Cricetulus griseus: one gene and its partner. The protein of the gene in region 1 purifies or fractionates together with the protein of each later gene. This does not show direct contact. Links are inferred from orthologs where the notes say so. Each region holds a gene or a part of one and is shown in the gene's direction. Other genes may lie near its edges.

What was found. Proteins that work in one complex are often made in the same cells at the same time.
Region 2: the proteins of Hdac7 (region 1) and 14-3-3 protein epsilon purify together in Homo sapiens (affinity purification with mass spectrometry; 4 studies listed by BioGRID and IntAct, with this or other methods). This does not show direct contact. The link is inferred for Cricetulus griseus from reciprocal best matches to the Homo sapiens genes HDAC7 and YWHAE.

The regions. Positions count from the first base shown.
Region 1 is NC_048595.1:394,300,576-394,304,085, reverse strand, and holds part of Hdac7 (histone deacetylase 7), read left to right. Parts: intron 1-1,251; coding exon 1,252-1,385; intron 1,386-1,524; coding exon 1,525-1,645; intron 1,646-1,905; coding exon 1,906-1,955; intron 1,956-3,184; coding exon 3,185-3,292; intron 3,293-3,510. UniProt on the Homo sapiens protein: Responsible for the deacetylation of lysine residues on the N-terminal part of the core histones (H2A, H2B, H3 and H4).
Region 2 is NC_048600.1:89,184,022-89,188,233, forward strand, and holds the start of 14-3-3 protein epsilon, read left to right. Parts: upstream 1-1,406; 5' UTR 1,407-1,520; coding exon 1,521-1,584; intron 1,585-4,212. UniProt on the Homo sapiens protein: Adapter protein implicated in the regulation of a large spectrum of both general and specialized signaling pathways. Binds to a large number of partners, usually by recognition of a phosphoserine or phosphothreonine motif.

The DNA.
Region 1 (3,510 bases):
ACCACCTGGCCGCTTTTTCATTTTTGTTGTTTTGTTTTTTGAGACTGGGTTTCCCTGTGTAGACCTGGCTATCCTGGAATACGTTCTGTAGACCAGACTGGCCTTGAACTCACAGAGGTCTGCTTTCCTCTGGCTCCTGAGTGGTGTGATCAAAGGCATGCGCCACCACAGTCCAGCTTTAGTTTTAATTTGCTTTTGTTTGTTAGTTTTTGAGATAGACTCTCACTATGAAGTCCTGGCTGGCCTGGAACTCACAAGATCCACCCACCTCTGCCTCCCAAGTGCTGGGATTAAAGGCATGCGCCACCGATGCCTGACCTTTAATTTTCTTATGTTTCAGTCCTGTCTTCTGTCTGGGATTATTTCTCTAGGGTCACACTTAAGGAGTAGCATTCCTGGGTCAAGGAGTGTGAGCATTTTGAAAGTCCTTGGTACCCTGAGATGTGCAAGCCCCCAGCCCTCCCACTAGCAGTGTGCATATACAGGGCCTGTTTCTGGAGACCTCCCTTGGGCTAGGCTGAAAGCCCTCAGTCCCTCAGAGAGTTGATTCTAGGACCCCTGCCCAGTTTATAAAGACACTGAAACCACAGAAGCTCAAGTTCTTCATGTAAAACAGCATAGTATTTGCATGTAACCTACGCATATCTTTCCACATTGAAATCACTTCTACTTTGCTTTTAATACCTAGTACAACGTAGATGCTATGTAAATAGTTTTGTGTTATTTGCATAATGTTTACAAGGTAAACTAGCTTTCTGAGTGTTTTCCATGTGCAGTTGGGAGACTAACCACATGGCCTGTAACATTGTGGGTATCCTCTCTCCCAGTCTTGAGGTTTCCCTCCAATTGTCTTTCTTCTCTGTGTTGGGACACAAACCCTCTGTGAGTTTGTGACACTGAGAGGGAGATGCCCTGTGTTAAGTCTCTCTGGGTTTAGGACATGAACTCTAAAGGGCATAGGAGATAGGTTGAGCCTTATAGGGAGTACGAATACCAAGAAATCAAGGGTCATGCAGAGCAAGGCAGGCTGGCACTGGTGTGTACATCAGGTTGTCTGAGGCATTTAGGCATGTGCACAGAGAGACAGGGCTAGCTCTTCACAGAAGGCCTGGGAAGGGAACACAGACATGTGTAGCAGCAAGGGATGTGTATATGCCTAGCTCTCTGGGCATGGGCTGCTCTCCATCTGCAGCCATGGTGGAGGCCCCTCCACTACGAGTTCCAGCCCTGACGGATGGCTGTTTCTTGCAGGGCTGGTCTATGACTCGGTGATGCTGAAGCACCAGTGCTCCTGTGGAGACAACAGCAAGCACCCCGAGCATGCAGGCCGCATCCAGAGCATCTGGTCCCGGCTGCAGGAGCGAGGTCTCCGAAGCCGGTGTGAGGTGAGGCAAGGCAGTGGGGCTGTGCAAGGGAAGGGACGAGAGGCTTTGGGGTCAGTAAGGGATGAGACAATGGGTGGTCTGGTGGTAGCAGAAGGTCAGGGGTGAGCAAACCTCAGGAGCTCTGTGGGCCCTCTCTCAGTGTCTCCGAGGCCGAAAGGCCTCCCTAGAGGAGCTGCAATCAGTCCACTCTGAAAGGCATGTACTCCTCTACGGCACCAACCCCCTCAGCCGCCTCAAACTGGATAATGGGAAGCTGACAGGTAGGGGAGGGACCCATATGATGTCTGGCCCCGAATCACCCTAAGCTCACCCATCTCACCCACCTCTGTGCTCTTGCCTCACTTGTGCACAGCTTCCTGGATATCCCCCGCCAGTTTGCTGCCCTGGTGTTGTCCATGTGTCCCGTCAGCCCCACTTCCACCCCGCCCATCTCCATATCTCCCTGTATTGTTTCTCCCTCCATACACTCTTCTTAGGGCTTCTGCGTTCCTCACTTTTGTGACCGGGCCTCTCTCCACAGGACTCCTGGCACAGCGGATGTTTGTGATGCTACCCTGTGGTGGGGTTGGGGTAAGTATGCCCAGAGATCTCAAGTGGGCATTACTAAGGACTTTCAGCCTTCCCTTCGGTTCTCTTGGCCCACTCCCGCCCCTCTGCCACCTGTGACTTGTGGTTCTGTCAGGGCCTTCCCCGTTATGCTCTTCTGCTGGCTGGAAGCTCCTTGTGATAGATGTATCCCAGTCCCATTAGTGTCCCACGAGTGTGCAGCCCAGTGCCTCACAGTTAGGTGTTTGGTAGATGTTGAGTGAGGCCCAAGGCAGGGTCACATTGGGGCTTGAGATTGTGTCCCAGGAGTTAGCAGCTCTGCCTGTCCAGGAGTGGGCCTCTTTCAGGCACTCCAGGTGTACCCTACTTGACCTCCAGACCTTGGACTGCCTAGTGTGGGGGCCGTGGGGCACCTCCCATGTACTTAGAGGTTTAGAATGCCCCTACCCAGGACATAGCCTTCTAGCCCTCCAGCTTTGCCCGCCTCTCCCTCACCTGTCGGAGGTCTCTTTGATACTGCTGGCATGGCCCTTCCTGCCTCTAAAGGTGCCAGGCAAGGTGTGTGGAGATGAGATGGAGGCAGTGGGAGCTGCCGGGGGGGGAGGGGGAGCTGTTGGGGAGACAGTCAGTGCCCTGTTCACAACTCCCCATTTCTTGCCACTTTCTGGTTTTTCCAACTATTGTTGCTTCTGTTTTCCCCTCCCTCCTCTCCCTCTCTGTCCTTTCTTTCTCTCTTTCTCCAGCCTCTTGCGACTCTTTCTGCCTTCCTCGCCTCTCTCGGTCCGCCTCGCCCTTCCCATCTCCCCATCATGGCCCCCGGCCCCTCCCTAGCCTTGAGGCCCAGGGACTGGGTTTGGGGGGCCTCCCAGCCTGGGCTAGGGGCTCTGAGTGGAAGACAGTGGTGCAGACGGCCCCTCCAGCTCCGACCGTCCTGCAGGGCCTGAGCAGAGTCAGCTGGGGCTTAAAACCCCTCCGGGCCCAAACCCCAATCCCGCCCAGGTAACGCCATGCCCCCTCCCCTGACTGGGGAGGCAGAGTGCTGGCCACATACGAGCTGGTGCTGGGAAGAAGTCCTGCTGGGACTGGGGGACACAGGAGGCCTTGCCTTTGGGCGGTGGGGCACTGGGGAGGCAGCTTTGTCTGCCCAGCTCCCTGCCCCTGGGGTCCTGGCCATGGGGTGGGTACTGCCTCATGGGGCCCTGCCTCCTGTGGAAAGCATAGGGTGATGCAGTCCCTGACCCTGGCCCCCACAGGTAGATACTGACACCATCTGGAACGAGCTGCATTCCTCCAATGCAGCCCGCTGGGCTGCAGGCAGTGTCACCGACCTTGCATTCAAAGTAGCTTCCCGAGAACTAAAGGTAGGAAGTTAAAGGCTGGTAAACCACAGAGGTGGCGGGGTGATGGTGGCATGTCTAGATCCCAAGTTCAGACCTCTCGTTTCTTGTGGATATTGCTACAAGGTTTTGGAAGGGAAATCGGGGCTGAAACCAAGGTGAGGCTTGACCTCTAAGGTCATGTTGCTTAGGGCCTTGGTGTCTTAGATAGTCCTGACCACCTAAGATCACTTAAGACCTGT
Region 2 (4,212 bases), on another chromosome or scaffold:
GTCCTGAGTTTAATTCCCAGCAATCACATGGTGACTCAAACTATGTATAGTGGGGGGCTGATGACCTCTTCTGTCATGCAGGCATACATGCAGATAGAACACTCATGTGTGTAAAATAAATAAATCTAAAAAAAAGGACGTTGAAAATCCAGTGGGAAGCAGAACATGATGTCCATTGCAAGAGAAGCAATTCCGATTGAGGGTTATTTGTTTCTAGCTAATTAATGTCAATTTGTCCTTACTCGACCTCTGGTGCACCTTGAACTCCAAACTAGGCATGCCACTTTCTTTTCCGCTTTAGTCAGGATTTCCCTATATAGCCTGGATTGGCTTCAAGTTGCTGATCTTATTCCAACTTGCTTCAACCTCAGCCACTATAGTGCTGGTATGGAGGGGTGGGATATAACCACGCATGCCCAGGAAAACCAGACACAGACACAGACACAGACACACACACACACCACACATCCGTCTGTCCTTCCTTCCTTCCTTCCTTCCTTCCTTCCTTCCTTCCTTCCTTCCTTCCTTCCTTCCTTCCTTCCTTCCGATGGAGGTCTCACAATGCAGCCCTGGCTGACCTGAAATTCGCTTTGTAGAGCAGGCTGGTCCCAATCTCAGAGATCCTCCTGACTCCTTAATGCTGAGATTAAAGGTATGCACCACCACACACACAAAAAAAACCAGAGACTTTTGTTTCTTTTTTGATTTTTAGAAGCAAGGTTTCTCTGTGTAACCTTGGCTGTCCTGGAACTGTGCAGACCAGGCTGGCTTCGAGAACTCATAGAGATCTGCCTTCCAATGCCTCCGGAGTGGTGGGGTTGAAGGAGTGTGGCACCAACACCACGTTAAAACCAGGGCCTTTAAACAAAAGTCCTATCTGTGATGGGCCAAAGCGATAAAATACGGCTGAAGGGAAGAAAAACATGATTACGGTGTGTGAACAAGAAAAAAGTTGGCGCGTAAAAACTGGAGCCCTCCCTTGTTCACCTGTCAGTTCTTTACACAGAGGTTAAAAGGCTCTGAAAAAGGCACATGAATGAGAAAAACGTGCAGGAATGCACAGTGAGTGGGTCTCAGTGAGGAAGGCCTGCAGTTGCAAGAACCCATCAAGCCTCTCGCTCGCTCGGTCTTTCCGCAGGCAGGCCTGTCCTCGGCCGGCGGCCACCGAACAGGATCCTGGCTCATTCCTTTAGCCCAGTCTCGGCCTCCAGCCTCTCCCGCTCGCCTGGGCCGTTCTTCTTCGCAGTCGCAGTTCCCGCCTTACTGCTGAGCCGACGGAGGAGGGGCGTCAGTCGTGCTGGTTCCAGCCTTTTCTGGCGCCGAACTCCCGGACCCGCCCCCCCGCGCCAGTTGCCAGGGAGCGGTTGCCATAGAGCTGAGCAGTTGTCCGCGTGCGCAGGCGGAAGTCCCGGATTGAAGCGCCGCCATTTTTACTGCTCGGACGCGGAGCGAGAAGCCGAGAGTCGGAGACGCTATCCGCTTCCATCCGTCGCGCAGACCCTGCCGGAGCCGCTGCCGCTATGGATGATCGGGAGGATCTGGTGTACCAGGCGAAGCTGGCAGAGCAGGCCGAGCGATACGACGGTGAGTTGGAGGGGTGTCGGGGGGCTGGAAGTCTCGGACCCTCCGCCGCCGCCCACAGAGGCCGGGAACCGGAGACAAAATGGCGGCATCGTCCCCGAGTCTGGCTCGGGACGCGGGTCGGGAAGCGGGAAATGTCCTGCGGGCTCCCGAAGCGGTGGGAGTCTCCGGGCCCAGGAATTTGACCCCTCCGGTGTCCTTAGCTTGCAGACGCTCGCCCGCCAGCAGGCCGGGGAGTAGGGTGGAGGAGTTGGTTGTAAAATGGCGGCTGAAGGGGGAGGGCGAGTCCCCGGGCGGGGGAGGGGGGAGGAGGTGGCGGGTGCCGTCTCCCGGCGCGCAATCCCCACGGGAGCTTTCGGGACCGTGGCGGGATGCGGAGGACAATCGGGTGGGGTGATGTGCGAAGCAGCAGCGGTCGCTCGGGGGAGGGCGGAATCTTAGGGAGCTGGAGCGCGGGCGCCTTTTCAGGGAAATATGGCGGGTGGGGGCGGTGGCTTTTCCCGGGAGGCCCAGTGTGGGGCGGCGGCTGTGGAGCCTCACAAAGGAGAAGCCTCAGGAGCGGACGGCTTCTCTGGGCCGCTGGTGGGGAGTCGTCTTTGGAGAGGGTGGAGTGTGTGGAAATCACTGCAGATTGATCATCCTTGGGTGGAGGCAAGCTGAGATGCTGCGATTGGATTCCTTCCCGCAGGCCGGCGCACCTCGGAGTTGAGGGTTTTGGGGGGCTTCTCTGCCTCGCCTCCTCCCATGGATGTGTGGAGCCTCACTCGTGCTCCGTTTGTTCTCACCCAGGGGATCCCAAAGTTCCTGTGGGTTTTTCTTTTTTCTTTTCCCAACCTTCAGAAGCCCGAGTTCTGATGGATAGAATTCTTAAATACAGGAGACCAGGCTTGCCAGGACCCTGTAATAATGATGGCTTTTTACAGTACCCGTGTCTCAAGTCTACCCGTTTGTAAAAATGACTTTTCTCTTCGCACTCAGCATTATGACACATGGAAAGACCTGTTGAAAAATAGTTAATTTAAATAATGTTTAGTAACACTCCCTTGGTTGACGACGTAAGTTTGGAAAATTCGTGTTGCTTGGCTTGGGGATCTTTACCTATTTTGAGGACTCGGTTGAGGCTTGGGGATTTTGAAATACAATTCTTTTTTTTTCCCCCTGTTTTATGACTTCATTGTTGCGTGGCTGGGGTTCCAACCCAGGGTTGCATGCATGCAAAGCAAGTGCTCATATACTAAGATACACTCTACCTCTGTTTTATCTATTTTAAGCAAATGGTTTTATGTACATATTTTAATAGTTATTTTGTTCACTCGACACCCACTACTTCCTCACCCCCGTGATGTAACCCAAGCCCTTGTACAGTGCTCTCTGTCACTAAGCTCTATCCTTAGCTCGTGCTAATTTGAATTTAGTCTTATCACCATTTCATTGAAATATCTTTTGTGTTTAGTCAGTTGTAGGCAATTTATGTTTTTTTTTGTGCCTTCCCTTTCTCTGATTTTGTACCTAGATACTTCAGTTAAGCAATATCTATCAAAGTAGTATTTTAAAAGTGATAAATCACATATATGTTTACCATGATTTATTTATGTTTGTTTAGGAATAGGGTCTCACTCTGTCGCTCTGGCTTTCTTGAAACCTTAGTATGTAGACCAGGCTGGCCTCTAACTCACAGAGATCCACCTATCAGTCTCCTGAGTGCTTTGATTAAAGGCATGTGCACTAAGGCAGATAGGTCCTTGTGATTTTAGTGTTGGGGGCTAGGATGGGATGCATGTTTGGAATTAAGTGTTATTGCCCCTAATTTTTTCCAAATTACTTAAGCCACTTGTTTTTCAAAAGTTAGGTCAGACCCTTTTCCTTGAATTCCAGTTTGGCTCTGTTGCAGCTTTTCTAGAACTAGTCCTAGAGTCTTGTCAGAAATTACTGTTCCAGCCTTTGGAATTTAGAACAGAAGGCTTCAAAACCCCCAGTTTAGGAAAGATACTAAACTGAATTTTGCCTTTCAGGTTTGAGTTGCTGTTGGCTTCTGTTGGGAGTGGGAGGAGGTGGGATGGGGAAAGTATGAATGTAGCTCAAGGTCAGCCTTCATTTTAGTGTTTGTAGCCAGGAGAGTTTGGTTGTAATGGAGGGTTCTCTCTCTGCCTCCCTGAAAGAAGTGTCCCCTGAATCTAGTGTCCTTGGGAGGAAACATGAAATTACATTTGAAGACTGGGGATTTAGGCTTAGTGTGAATGTGACCCCTCCTCCCAATAGAAAGGTATTAGGGAATCTTTTTGCTTTGTTTCTGAGTCATTTTTAGGAAGGATTTGGAAACTTGCATGATTGTAGCTTCCAAATAAATGGCAAGTTAACTTTAAATCATGCTTGTGATTTGAGTGCTGAGGGTTTCTGACTAAAGTCTGGCCTTGTTAGTTATTGAACATAGGAGTGTAGACAAGCCACTTGGTGACTGTCCCTTTGAGACTCTTAAAGAAAGAAGGGAATGCAATAGGAAGCACTGCAGTGATTTGGCATGAGGAGGGATCTAGAGCGGGAGAGGCAGGAAGGCAGTCAGGAAACCCACCACTACTTGACTGACTGCAGTGATTCAGCTTTGTTTGTGTAATAGAAATGGCTCTATAGAAG